Linked DNA regions of Oryzias latipes. The protein of the gene in region 2 interacts with the protein of the main gene of each other region in a pairwise test. Links are inferred from orthologs where the notes say so. Each region holds a gene or a part of one and is shown on either strand. Other genes may lie near its edges.

Evidence for each region. The genes of interacting proteins can lie anywhere in the genome.
Region 1: the proteins of heat shock protein beta-1 (region 2) and bag3 interact in binary tests that used the Homo sapiens proteins (3 or more experiments, as listed by UniProt). The link is inferred for Oryzias latipes from reciprocal best matches to the Homo sapiens genes HSPB1 and BAG3.

The regions. Positions count from the first base shown.
Region 1 is NC_019873.2:29,857,903-29,864,806, reverse strand, and holds bag3 (BAG family molecular chaperone regulator 3), read right to left. Parts: upstream 4,470-6,904; 5' UTR 4,393-4,469; coding exon 4,222-4,392; intron 2,963-4,221; coding exon 2,630-2,962; intron 2,366-2,629; coding exon 2,048-2,365; intron 1,968-2,047; coding exon 1,389-1,967; 3' UTR 368-1,388; downstream 1-367. Other genes in the region: tial1 (nucleolysin TIAR), read left to right, coding at 6,283-6,311, 6,629-6,725. UniProt on the Homo sapiens protein: Co-chaperone and adapter protein that connects different classes of molecular chaperones including heat shock proteins 70 (HSP70s), e.g. HSPA1A/HSP70 or HSPA8/HSC70, and small heat shock proteins (sHSPs), e.g. HSPB8.
Region 2 is NC_019870.2:13,680,442-13,686,697, reverse strand, and holds heat shock protein beta-1, read left to right. Parts: upstream 1-2,736; 5' UTR 2,737-2,929; coding exon 2,930-3,302; intron 3,303-3,371; coding exon 3,372-3,435; intron 3,436-3,527; coding exon 3,528-3,687; 3' UTR 3,688-4,011; downstream 4,012-6,256. Other genes in the region: sushi domain-containing protein 2, read left to right, coding at 167-263, 357-402. UniProt on the Homo sapiens protein: Small heat shock protein which functions as a molecular chaperone probably maintaining denatured proteins in a folding-competent state. Plays a role in stress resistance and actin organization.

The DNA.
Region 1 (6,904 bases), on a different chromosome or scaffold from region 2:
GGAGAAACCACATCACGTGAAATATCTGAAAATGGTTTTAGAAATCTGCTGTTCAGCGGAATGAAAGCTGTGTATTCCTACCTGGTCCCGTCAGTATAAACTCTCACGTTTCGGGCGGTGTGAGCTGAAGACCCCACAGGCCGGCCTTTGCTTCAGCCGTCCCTGATGCAGGATGTCTATATCTGCATTGTGGAGATGCTGGGACACATCTGTCCATCGATCTTTTCACAGCCGCTCTAATCCTGACATCTGCCCGTTTTTTTGATGCTTCCTGCTGCAGCGTCTCTGAGGATGTGATGTCGGCTTTGCCATCTACTTTAATATATTCCACCCACTGGGAACATGAAAATGCATCTGACAGGCAGGAAACGATTAGAGCTTCATCTCTTTATTTGAGTTGTTTTCACACAAAATTACCAAAACATTAAAATATATAGTAAAAAACAAATTTGCAGAATCTGTAGGAACAAAGTGTTTGAAACATTTATTTTCAGAAAAGCCAGTGTGACTCGATTTCTGCCAACGGCTATCAAATCCTAAAGTCAATCAGCCACAATCTCTAATCCTGTAGAATCTGATTATTAGTCCAGGACCAGAAGAGGGGGGGCATCATAAAAGTAACGCTGACGTGCTCAAATGTTTGGTCGTGTTGAAGCCGTCACGGTTTCACTCCGACAGACCTTTGGTGATCTACAGACATTCTGACGCCGTAACACGCCGGTTTGGTTAGCAGCCGACGCTGATTGTCTCCCGTCTCAAACAGACGACACATTTCACCCCGTGGGTCAATAAACATTCAGAAGTGTAGCAAAATACTGTATATACTGATAGAAAGATTCATGTGGGACTGAAGTCAACCGACTGATCCAAACTCACTCAAATGATCATCCTTCAAAGACGCGTTGCTGATTCTCAACACGTTTCAGTGACAACAAAGTGCAAACACAACTCCAAAGGCAGTGCACACAAGAAGCAGCATGTAGTAAAGATGTGACTGTGTTCTGTGACAGAGCGGCTCCATCATGAGCCCTCAAACACCGACCCGTGTGCTTACTCCACCAGAAGACGCGTCACACCGTTTCCTGTCAGACTAAAGGCAACGACACATAGACTCTGTTAGGAAAATACTGGGATTTCTCTTTGATGCTGTAATAAAGGCCTCATTTCAAACTCAAATTTGCTTAGCGGTTGCCGTCAACGCCTCACTGATGGTCGCAGTCAAATTTACAAGGACACTGACGGCGAGAACGATGGCTCAAAAACGAACGGCGCTGAGCTACCATCAGTTAAGTGCTGAAGGAACAAACGACCACTGAACGCATGCAGCTTCCACAAACGCTTCAGGCGGAGGAGTCCGCCGGCATCCTCTGCTCCTGAACGGGAGCTCCTCAGAAAATCTCCTTGGCCGTCACATAATGTTCCTTGGACTCTCCTCTGTCACCGTCCGCCGGCGTCTCACTGGTGGGCTTGGCTGGCCGCTCCTCCAGCTGTTCCAGCTCCTCCAGTATGGTCTGAACCCGCCGGACTCCATCGCGCCGGGCCTGCCGCACATCTGCGCGTCCCTCCGGGTCGACAGAGTCCAGAGCCAGCAGCTCTTTGGTCAGCAGCTCCTCCAGCAGCAGGTATTTCTTATCATTTTTCTTCCCGCTGAAAGCCTTGGCCTCCTGCTCCAGCGAAGCCACCCGTCCCACGATCTGCTGAACCTTCGCCAAGCCCGGGTGAACGGCGCCCTGCTCCCCCTCTGCTCTGGTTGGGGGGGCTTCAGGGCCGGCTGGGTCCTGAACCTCTGCTTTTGGAGGGATTTGAACCGTGATGTCTGCAACGTGATGCTGCGGCTCCTGGGACTGAGGCTGCTCCAGATGTGGAGCGTCCACCTCTGTGAGCTGCGGTTGAGGAACCGGCAGGTTCTCTGCTTTCTGCAGCTCCTGCTCCACTTTCTGGGCCGGGTCTCTAGTGAGGAGGTTCTGCTGAGATCCAAATAACAAAGTTACAGTTTTATGTCAGAATCTGGGACACGCTGGCAAAAGGAAAAGACCGGAAAGCCCACCTGCGGTCTGTCCGCCTGCAGCTGCGATACCGTCGGGGACTGGCTCCTAAGCGAAGGTGGGAGGCGGGCAGACGCTGCGTCCCGGTGCTGCGGGAACAGCGACGTCGGGGAAGCACTTTCCCGAGAAGACGGCGCCGCAGAGTAGGCGGGCCGTTCGTCTGTCTGGAGGCGCTGGTAGGGGGCGCGCTGAGAGTAGACGGCGGGGTTTACCTGAGGCGGACCCCCTCCGCCCTCATGGATGACTGGAATAGGAATGTAACCGGCCTGGAGGCCGGTGCTGCCGGGTCGACACGGTTGGTGGTGTGTGGCGGTGTGCACCTGAGCAGCAACACAGTCAGAACGCAGTGAACACGTTTGGTCGCACAAATGTTACCCGCTTCAGCTCATGCTGGTCCCTCACTAGATCGCCGGCCACCTTTTTATAGCCAATTTCCATTTTACTTCACAGCTCGCTATGTTCTGCATCCTGATTGGCTGTTGACCTTGTCAATCAATCTCCTCCGTGTATGAAATGCGTTATTTTGAAAACTCCCACTGTAATCAAGGGTGGCTGTCAGTGAAGAACCCAAATGTTACCCGTACCTCTGTGGTTGGCGGCGTGGGCGTGCTGGCCCTCCCGGGCTCAGAGGAGCAGCTGTCTGAGGCCACGTGTAACGGCGATCTGGGCCTGCCGTGAAGTCCGGAGGCGTGCGAAGGAGCCTGACCTTCGTACCGGACACTCTGCGCTGTGCTTGGCTGGATGTACGTACAGCAGGGATGCGGCGGCTGCTGCCGCAGCTCTGCGCCCTCATGGAAGACGGGGATGGGGATGTAGCCGGGCCGCAGAATCGGGTGCTTCATCTCTCGGGTAAAGGTCTTCTGGGTCTCCTTAGGATGTTGTTCTGGAGGTATGTTGGGTCCGTTTGCTTCTCTACTCTGAAATATAGGCAGGGGAAAGAATTTAGAACCAAAAAACCTTTAAATTCATTAAAAAAACACACACAAATCTCAGGTAAAAACTTTAAGACTTCCACCACTGATTCATCAGTGATATTTTGTATAATTGTGTATTTGTGCTTCTATAGTGCTTTTCTAAAGCCTAAAGTGCTTTACACACTCTGATGGGGGCAGAGCAAGGCCAGAATCAAACCCGAGACCTCCTAATCCAGAGTCAACCGCTCTACCTCTGCACCACAGCTGCTCACAAAGCCCCCGTCTCATGCTGCCTCCATGTTTTCCAGGTGTGTTTTCCAAATATAACGGTGCTTTGGGCCGTTGACGTCAGGTGAGCGTCTGTGCAGACGTCTGTGTTCGCGACCGTCCGGCCGCAGGTGGAAATCCTCCACAGATCCACGTTCTGCCTTCTCCAGATCCACGTTCCGCTTTCTCCAGATCCACGTTCCGCTTTCTCCAGATCCACGTTCCGCCTTCTCCAGATCCACGTTCCGCTTTCTCCAGATCCACGTTCCGCCTTCTCCGTCCCGGGTCACATTTCCTCACCCAGCAGCCAAAAGTGACGCTGCCCTGCCAGAACAACCTCTGCATTCCAGCCCGGCAGCTGCTAGTTTGCCTCCTGAAGATGTGTCCCTGTGCCCAGCGCCCCCCCCCTCTGACCCCCAACACGCCAACATCACACAGGACAGCACTTTTAATCTGAAGGAGACCAACTGTTTGTCTTTTTGAATGTTCTTTATGGAACAGGTCACCGCTGTGAACTATTTTCCTCCATGAAAACCGATCAGACAGGAAGAGAATTTAAAAATAAAAGCACGAGATGTCAGGAAGAAGTGAAGGAGCAGAGAGCAACAGGTCTGATGCCCCCCCCCCCTCCCCAACCAAAGGAGACCAAAACCTGGAGGAAAACGGTCAACAATCGGTACCCCGTCGGTGTCTCCTCCGGAACGACCCTTTGCCCTCTGCCCGGGACCGCCCGCCCAGCAGCCCCCGCCACACACAGCAGCCCAGCCGCGGTCCCTGCTGGGAAAATGACCTTAATGTGAAAACGGCCCCCCCGTCCCGGCCGCCACATACTGCAGGGTGACTCATCGCGTAATAATAGTTATGATGACACGAGGACATGGCGGGACCGATCAGCCGTTACCACCGACAATACAATGTTCCGCAGAAACAACCAACGCAGATTCCCCGCGAGCGCTTCCCGCCGGGGAAGCAACTTTGCCCGCGCGCTCCTTCACCTTTGTCGCGACGTGTCTCGGGTCATTCCAGGTTGTGGTTCGGTTGTTGTGATCCACGAAAAACGGCCATCCGGTCTGGGGGTCGATTTTGACCTCCCAGCCGAGGGGCAGGGGGTCGCTGTCGTTGTTAGCCATGGTCGGCGCGGGGGCGCGTGTCTGCACGGCGCTCATGCTGCTCGCGCTCCGGTACTAAGACATTTTATACGGGCGGCGGGCGCTTTAAAGACTCCGTGGAGTGACGTGGGGAAGTGGGCTGGAAGCTTCTGGAAATAGCAGGGTTAACTGTGGGGGCGGCAAGGGGGGCGGGGGGGGGGGGGGGGGCGGAGCTGCAGATCCAAGCCGGAGACCCCCACGAGGGTTTACCGAGAGCAGCTCCACCTGAAACGTGACGACGGACCGGAGAGCAGCGGAGACGACTCCATCAGAGCCCAGACGGGGGGGGGGGGCTAAACATGTTCAAAAACACATGCGTGCCTCCGGCGAGGAACACATGTTCAATGAGATTTGGTCACTAAATAAACTAGTCCAATTCTATTTTATCATTAAAAATGAGTAAAAATCTACAAACAAAATGAAAAATCAAAAGGTTCAAACACAACCCCCCCACAAAGAGACAGCTGCTTATAACATTACTCTGTTTTCCAGTCCAGACAAACATTTGCTTTCATCAATATTTCATATTAAAGCCGCTTTTTGGAATCTAAATTCTAGTGGATACTATCTAATGATTATGTTAAACATATATGAAGGATCTAAACTTTAAAACAACTTTAAAAGATTTAAAAACATACAAAGTAGTCATTCTAAATATGTGCAGCAAACAGCTGTTTGATTATCAAACTGATATTTGAAACCATTGTTATTTATAAATAGTTTAAATTATGTCAAATGCTGCAAAACAGGAGAGTAAATTATTCATGTTGAAAAAATTAATAAATAATTAGGAGTGTGACCATTAATTTTACCTCAATCCAGATGGAATTTTCTAATATTGATTTAATTGATTTTGACACGAGTTTATAATGGTATAGGTCCACTCGATTGTACAAATAGAAATTAATTAATATTAATTAACTATTAATTAACTAGATTAATAGTTAAACTCTTAATAATAATAATAATAATGTCCTTTATAAAGATAAGGCTAAGCTTTCTGTGACTCTATAAGGTCATGTCAGAGACTGTTTATGACTCACCATATATACTGGGATAAACTGTTTATGGGTTAGAGTTATTGTAAAATAATCCATTCTCCCTTTACTATACTGTTGTTATAAGGATAATCACATTAGTGTCGTGTGAATTAATTTTTTTTCTTTACATTTAAATTTTACACTAAATACATATTTTATTTATCTTCATCACTCCAAGGCTGCTGCAATTACATTGTATCACCATATACAATGACAATAAAATTATTCTGATTAGTCAAAAATCTGTAAAAAGAACTCTACAGGCTACACAAAGCCTAACTTTATAAAGCACACAGCATCAAGTCCGGACATTACAGCAGAGTTTAAACAGAAGAATAAAAATAACTCGATAGCTGAACATTAAAACATGAAAGGTGTTTAAAAACAAGTTCACACGCGCTGACACCTGACCCGAGCTTCCAGAAATCCCCTCTGTTCCAGTTATAGCTGACACAAACGGGCATCGTCTCAGGAGGGTCCTTAAAACAAGCGAACCCTTACTTCCGCTTAAAATCTAAGGAAATGACGTAACGTCAGGGGAAAAAAAGACTTTTCTCTATTGCCGTTTAATAGCGTCACCCTGAAATAGATGATTGATACAGAAAATCTAACCTTCGTTTTTCAAACGTTGCATTTTCTTATAAAGGTTATAAAGGTTTAAATTTAGGCTACTTCACCTTTTCCGTAGGACAGGCTGTTACGCATGCGCAAGAGAAACACTCATGGTCTGACGTACGCTCTGTTCCCGTCAGTTAGCATCTGAGGAGCTGGGTAACTAGCTGCTTTGTATTTGACACTAGTGTCGCTAAATGACAGCTAGGTATTAAGCAGCTAACGTTTTAGGACCACGTGACTTTCAGCATCGATCATGGACGACGAAAGCCACCCCAGAACTCTGTAAGCCCCCCTCCCCCGGTTGTGTCATAGTGTTTGCTAACATCTGGAAATATCGGCTAGCTTAGCTTGTCAATGTTAACCCGGTGTGTTCTAGCTTTCCTATATGTGGCGGTAATGTAACCGCAAAGCTTGGAACGAAATAAGACTAGACTTAGTTTACGAGGATATATATATATATATTTATATTTTCTACTAGTTCATGGAAAGTATGTGTAACGGGATCTACATAACCTTACTCTAAACAAATGCAGAATAACATAGAAAGATGTTACTTTTAACTGGATGGTAATGATGTAAATCCCGTCTCTGTGCTTTAGGTACGTCGGAAACCTTTCCAGAGATGTTACCGAGATTTTGATCCTGCAGCTCTTCACCCAGATCGGACCCTGCAAAAGCTGCAAAATGATCACAGAGGTACCGTTCACCAACTCATGTAAACACACAACCATCTCATGGTTAGCAGGTAATGGAGCATTACTGGTTGATGTTCAGATTTCTTTTGGTATTAGTATCTGACATAGGGCTGGATCGATTCGTTTTAATGATTCCATTCATATAATTTGTGGTTGATGATCCGATCCTCTGTCCTAAAG
Region 2 (6,256 bases):
CTGCATGTGGCCTGCAGTTTGGGATTTTTTTTCCTTTTTCTGTTCTGAAAAAGTAGTTAATTTGTGTTAAATATTTCACACCAAGAGCAAACATAATCAGACTTTTTGTGGAAACGTCCATGTTTTGAACTAAAACACACACAATGTTCTTATTGGAATATTTCAGGTAAACTCCCTGGAATTCTGGCTGGTTCAATTGTTGGCGCCTCAGCACTGATTCTGATCATGACAATGATTGTGCTCCACTTCAGAAAGCAAAAAAGGTAAAGTAGAGACGTTTTTTTTAAACTTCAAAATGTTTCCAGCTTGCACCAATATCTCACTTATTTGTTGTTGTCATGTTATTTATTTTTCAGGAAACCATCCAATTCAGAGGAAGGGAGTATCACTGAAGGCTTGTAGCCGAACCCAGTTTATAACTTTTGTTATTTATCGTTAAACTGTAAATGTCTGATAAGTGGGAAATTTCAATTTAAGCAATTTCTTTTTTAAGATACAAGTACTTTTTATGTGAACATAGATAGTTTAAATACGTTTAGATGATAGAAAGATGATGTTCATGTTGTGTCCATAGTGGTTGTTTTTGCATGATTATCTTTTGCTGAGTTAAAAAAAAGTTTTACACCAGATATGGACTTTTTACGAGTGTGTATGGCAAACAACAGTGAAGCTACAACTCCGTATAGCTGCAAATGTATTTCTGCATTTGTCACAGCCCATATGCTTTGAACTTTTGTCATTTTTTTACACTCCAAACATGTGCTTTAAAATTTTTTTGAATAAAAATGTCCTTGTGCATTATGAGCAGAGATCTTACATGTGACTGCTTAGTGTTTCCCTTTTTCTAAAGTTTCTTCTTTATTGACATGAAATGTTATCAACAGCTGATAACTGACTGATGCGAGGAGTGGCGAGTGACCCTTCAGCAGGGGGTCAATCATAAAGATGTCGGTGCTGTTCAGAGAAAATATTAACTGTATCGGCAAGAATATTTGATAAGGAAAACTACTTTTTGCAGCAAAAACCATGTTTCAATTTGAAAGAAGATCATTACTTGTAGTGAAGTCAGACATTTTGAGTTCATTTTTTGAAGCATCTGAACTCAGAAGAATTGCTCCAAAGCCTCAAGAAAGTTATCATAATTGGTGGTGGAAGGCCTAAATGCAGAAGATTGACATGAGGAGGAAACGAAAAACATGAATTTGTGAATTTTGGCATGAATACAACAGCCTGCCATTAAAGCAACAACCATAAAATAAAATCATATATAGTCCAGACAAAAACTAAATGGTGCTTAAATACAGGACCTGACAAAACCAAATATAAAACCAGACCATTAATTAACCGCAAAACAAACAGCTGTGGCTGTTAATAACTTAAACTTTCTGGTGACTTTGAATTTTGGGAAAACACAAAACACAGGATAGAATAAAATAAGTTAGTTTCTGATGGTTTGAAGTTCAAATTCAAATGAAAATTTCCTTTATAAAATCATAACATTGTATTGATGCACTAACCTTTAAAATTCCAGCTTTTTTTTTGGCCTTTTTTTGATTAGTAGAAAGTGTATTCTTTTTAATTTTTAAGTGATAAAAAACGGATTCCATCTAATGTTTGACATCAAAATAGGTATTTGCACATTGCCAATCCATCACATCATTAGCATCTGGCTGCTATATGTATATCTACCAGTTTTTTTACACTCTGCAATTTAAGACACTTATGCAAAGCTTGTAAAATAAACTTTAGTGAAGTTTGCCCTTACTTTGACCCTAACCTTAACCATAAGTATTGCACACAAATGCACAAATACATATTAGCTGGATGATAACACTATTTTACAGAGGCCAATGCACTTGTGAGCTACAGTAAAATGTTACAGTATATTCACTTTATTTGGTTTCTTATCACACACATTAACTCTGGGTTATTTCCAAGAATTTTTGGATTTACAACTGAAGAGCGTTTTCCTTTCGATGACCCTAAAACACCTTTAAACTGATCTATGCTCATATTTTCATTGATTGCACACTTTAGACTTTTTTATATTCATTAGTAAACTAGCAATAGCACAGCTAAACTTCAGGCAATATTTTCTTTTAACATGTGCTTAATAACATTCTTAAGCAGACTGACATCAAGTCTGTTGTAACCTGGTGTGTCAAACATTAAAACCTGATAAACAATGAAATGTTTATGAGCAGAGTTCAGAAATATTCACGTTGCCTCCCTGATAAATGCCATTCCTCAGATAATTTATCTCACTCAAGCTCGGTTTATTTTTTGAACCCATGAAGATGTTTCTGTGAAATTCCACACCAGCTCCAGAACTCCATAGTCTTTCTCTCCATCTGTTTTTACCAGCTGTAAACACGTCTTTATCTTCTTCACCCTGAGATCCTGTTTGCTCTGCAGTTTTGCTCTTAAGTTAAGTTGGGAGGCTAAAAGCAACGCTTGTGTTTACCGTTTGACTTTTTGTGTGCTGCTTCACATGCAGCTGTGGTTTCGGTGGACAAAGAGCTCCAGTATGTGACGGGACTGCAGAGGCCATGGCTGAATGACACGACTTCTCCCTGCTTCCAGAATCATTCCCCAACAACTTACCGGAGACACTCAAAAGATATAAATACACATAATTGGCATTGTCCTCTCCGAGTCCCAGGGCAACAGGAGAGTTGACGCCCCGGCCCATCACATTTCATCCCTTACATCACACTTGTTAAAGCACAAGTGTGAAGAGGAGGCCGTTGGTTATATAAAGCGTGTGAGTGGATTGCTGCGGACTCCAAAATAGGCTTTTCCCCAAACCTCCTGCTTACTTACAGTTTTTGAGTTTCGTTTTGGTTGGTCTGATCTCGTCTTGCATTTTTCTGTCAGGTGGGAGCAAGAGCTTTTATTTTCAGTCTCCTTTTCTTGAGTTTTGAACCACATGGGTGATCAAAATAAAACACTATCCCGGCCCATATTCCGTCGAGATGTCCGCTGGGATCCTTTCCCAAACTGGACTCAGCCAAGCCGTATTTTTGCCCAGGACTTCGGCATTCCTCCTTTCCTGGAGCCCAATGATCTGGACTGGCTTGACTGGGCAAAAAAGAGACTGGCTTCTTTCTCCTGGCCGGGTTACACGCAAAGCCCCCTCCTGCCTCCCATCACGCCGGACCAGAAGAGTCTGAGACAACTGACTAGCGGTGTGTCTGAGGTGAGAACGGGGCAAAACAGCTGGAAGATCAACCTGGACGTCAATCATTTTTCACCCGAAGAGATCTCCATCAGCACAAAGGATGGCTACTTGCAAATATCAGGTACGTAGGCTTAATTTTTTTTCATTTTATACATAAAGATGTTTATTAATAATTACTGTTTTTTTTAAGGAACTCATGAAGAAAAGCAAGATGAACACAGTTTGGTTTCAAGATGTTTCACTCGTAAATACAAGTAAGGAGGCTGAGAAGCAAATTCGAGACACATTTAGGATGCGACCGTAACATATTTCTGTTTGTGACAAACGTTCTCTCATTTTTTTCGAGGTTACCACAAGGGGTGAATCTGCAGCACATCAGCTCATCCCTGTCCTCAGAAGGAATGTTGTCCGTAGAAGCTCCCGTCCCAGGAACATCCATCAGCAGCCCGGACAATGAGATCGTCATCCCCGTTCAGACCAAAAAGACACAGGACAGTGAGAAATGAACATAGTGAGCAGAAAGTAGCTCAAACTGTGCATAGCAGCAATTATTAAAATTACACAAAGCAGACTAGATTGCTTAAATTTAATGTTATCATTTGCTTTTTGGGAGATTTGAGACTTTTATAATCTAATTTAAACTTAATAAAAAGCAGAAATGGTATTGGATCCAATAAAACAAACCCTTGCTGTCCTTTTTAATTTTGTAATTTTGCACTAAAATTTTGTTTACTATAAACTGGTCTTTATCTTACTGTTCTTGTAGAATGATTGTATTATGCAATTTCAGCCTTCACAATGAAACAGAAATAAAATTTGGTAAAAATACATTTCTTTCACAGATTGTGGTTTTGTCACAATATTCATTCTTGCAGCTCAAACTTTTTTTTAACATGAAAACTTACACCTAAAAACAGGTCAGAGGTCACCAATTTTTTACAACCCATAATAACTAACAGTATATTGTAAGGATCAATATTTTAGGCAAGGACACGGAAAAAAGAATAGACAAAAAAAGTCTTTTTGTAGCTGTGCAGCAAAAATTTACTGTTACTAAATTTAAAACGGTGTGAAGTATGATATTGTTTGTACGAGGTTTCTGAAAATATTATATCATTACCTTGTAAAACAGTTTTAACTGCAAATTTAATAAAGATTTAAAGACTTAACTTAATTTTTTTACCTCTTAAAAACTCTACCTTAATTTGGGGGAAATGGAGACAGCACTCCAAAGTTATATAAAACAAAAATAAAACAAATCTAATATTAATAAAAAGACAAACTTAAAATTAAATTAGTTTTGCTCTTTCCCCCCCCTTTAAAGTTCTCTTTAAGTACAAAAGGTCAAAGTTCACTATTTATGCTGATCTTGATTTTAGCAAATTATCTATACAACACCATAAGGTCATTATCAGTTCCTAATAAATAATAAAAAAATAATAAAAAATATTCTACATTAACTATTTATTATTTTTTTACTATGAAAAGAAAAAGATCAGTGCAAGTGACGCAACAAACTAATCTAACCCTTGTGCTATCCTAGGCACTTTAACATTGGGAGATGGGTCATCTAGACCCACCAGACAGTGCGCTGAACCTTTTTTCTTCAATGATTTGTGATGGATTACATGAAATCTTTCCACCTTTACCCACTTTTGTTATGGTAGGAAGAACACGTCAATGTAAGGGTGGGGTCATCTAAGATAGCACAAGGGCTAATCAAGGAATAGCCAATCAAAAGCACAACGGTGACATCTACTGTTAAAAAAGGAGCATTACATGAAATTGAAAAACGTCAGGAGAATCATTTCATGTTTTGCACAGCTTGGAAGATCCTCCAGAAATGGATGCTTTGTTATAAGTATCTTGCATTTCTGCTTAACTTAATGTTGGCTTATCTCCTAAATGATCACAGCTCAATACATTGGGATAAGTCCAGTAGACAGCTTTAAACAAAGCATAGTCAGAAATAGTTGATTAAGCTTTTGGAGGTGTTTGTCATGCTGGCTCCAGCTGCTTTTTAAAGTAAATACAATTCGAAAATGCCAGTTTATTAGGTCTCAAGTACTAATTTCCTATTTTTCTAGAGTGGTTCATTTATAGATTTTTTACATAATGTAGTTCACTAATGAAGTTTCCCCTAAAGGTTTCAGACCAATCACGGCCCCATCTTACAGAGGAGCAAAACATCAAATAAAGGAGCATGAATTCCTCTGGTGCAAAATAAGGGCCTCTGGTTCAAATGCACATTTTCATTTTATTTATCTTATAGAAGCCAAAAAAGACAGGGGTAACTTGCACGAGGAAGTGGAGATCTGTTTTTTATCGGATGAATGAGAGTTTTATTAGTGCAGTGTGTTGCAGAAGAAAAAGACAACAAAACAAACACATTGACAAGTTTAATTAGAGCTCTAAAATTAAAAGTACTGTTGAAAATGGGGAATTTAATATAATAAGTGTAAGCGTTCCAACTATAGGAAACTGTGGAATTGGTTTCAGACAGGAGGAAGGAAAGAAGGAAGGAAGGAAGGAAAGAAGGTAGGAGGGAAGGAAGGAAGGGATGGAGTGAGTTGGATTACCTCAGCCTGGTTGAGGTTTGCCTGTAGTGTAGTGGTGTCTCTTTAAAGGAAGGGGGAGTGTAGAAGAGGGACAGAGGAAAGAGATGAATAGAAGGCACGAGAACCACCTACCATGACCAAGTGCGTTGTAAATGTAGGACAGAAATTGGAGTGGACCACAAACGGATCGTTGAGCGACATCTTCGAGGGAAAACCATGTTTGGATGCGCCTCAACGGAATCGGCTGTTTTTCAATGTGCCAGCAGCGCACGCGAGCGTCGGAGCACAGGGAAACGGGTTTTCCTCTCAAACATTCCCTGCTTTCTAAAACGGAAAAGAAGAGTGGCAGCACAGCACATCCCCGTGGCATCTTCTTCTGATCACCAATGTTAGGGATTGCATAATTCACCCTTTGGTTCCTCTGCTTTTCAGACGCCAGAAAGGGGAGAAAAAAACGACTACATCTAGTGGCTGCATTTGTTTGGCAATGCCCTTTTCTCTCCCAGGAAGGACTTGC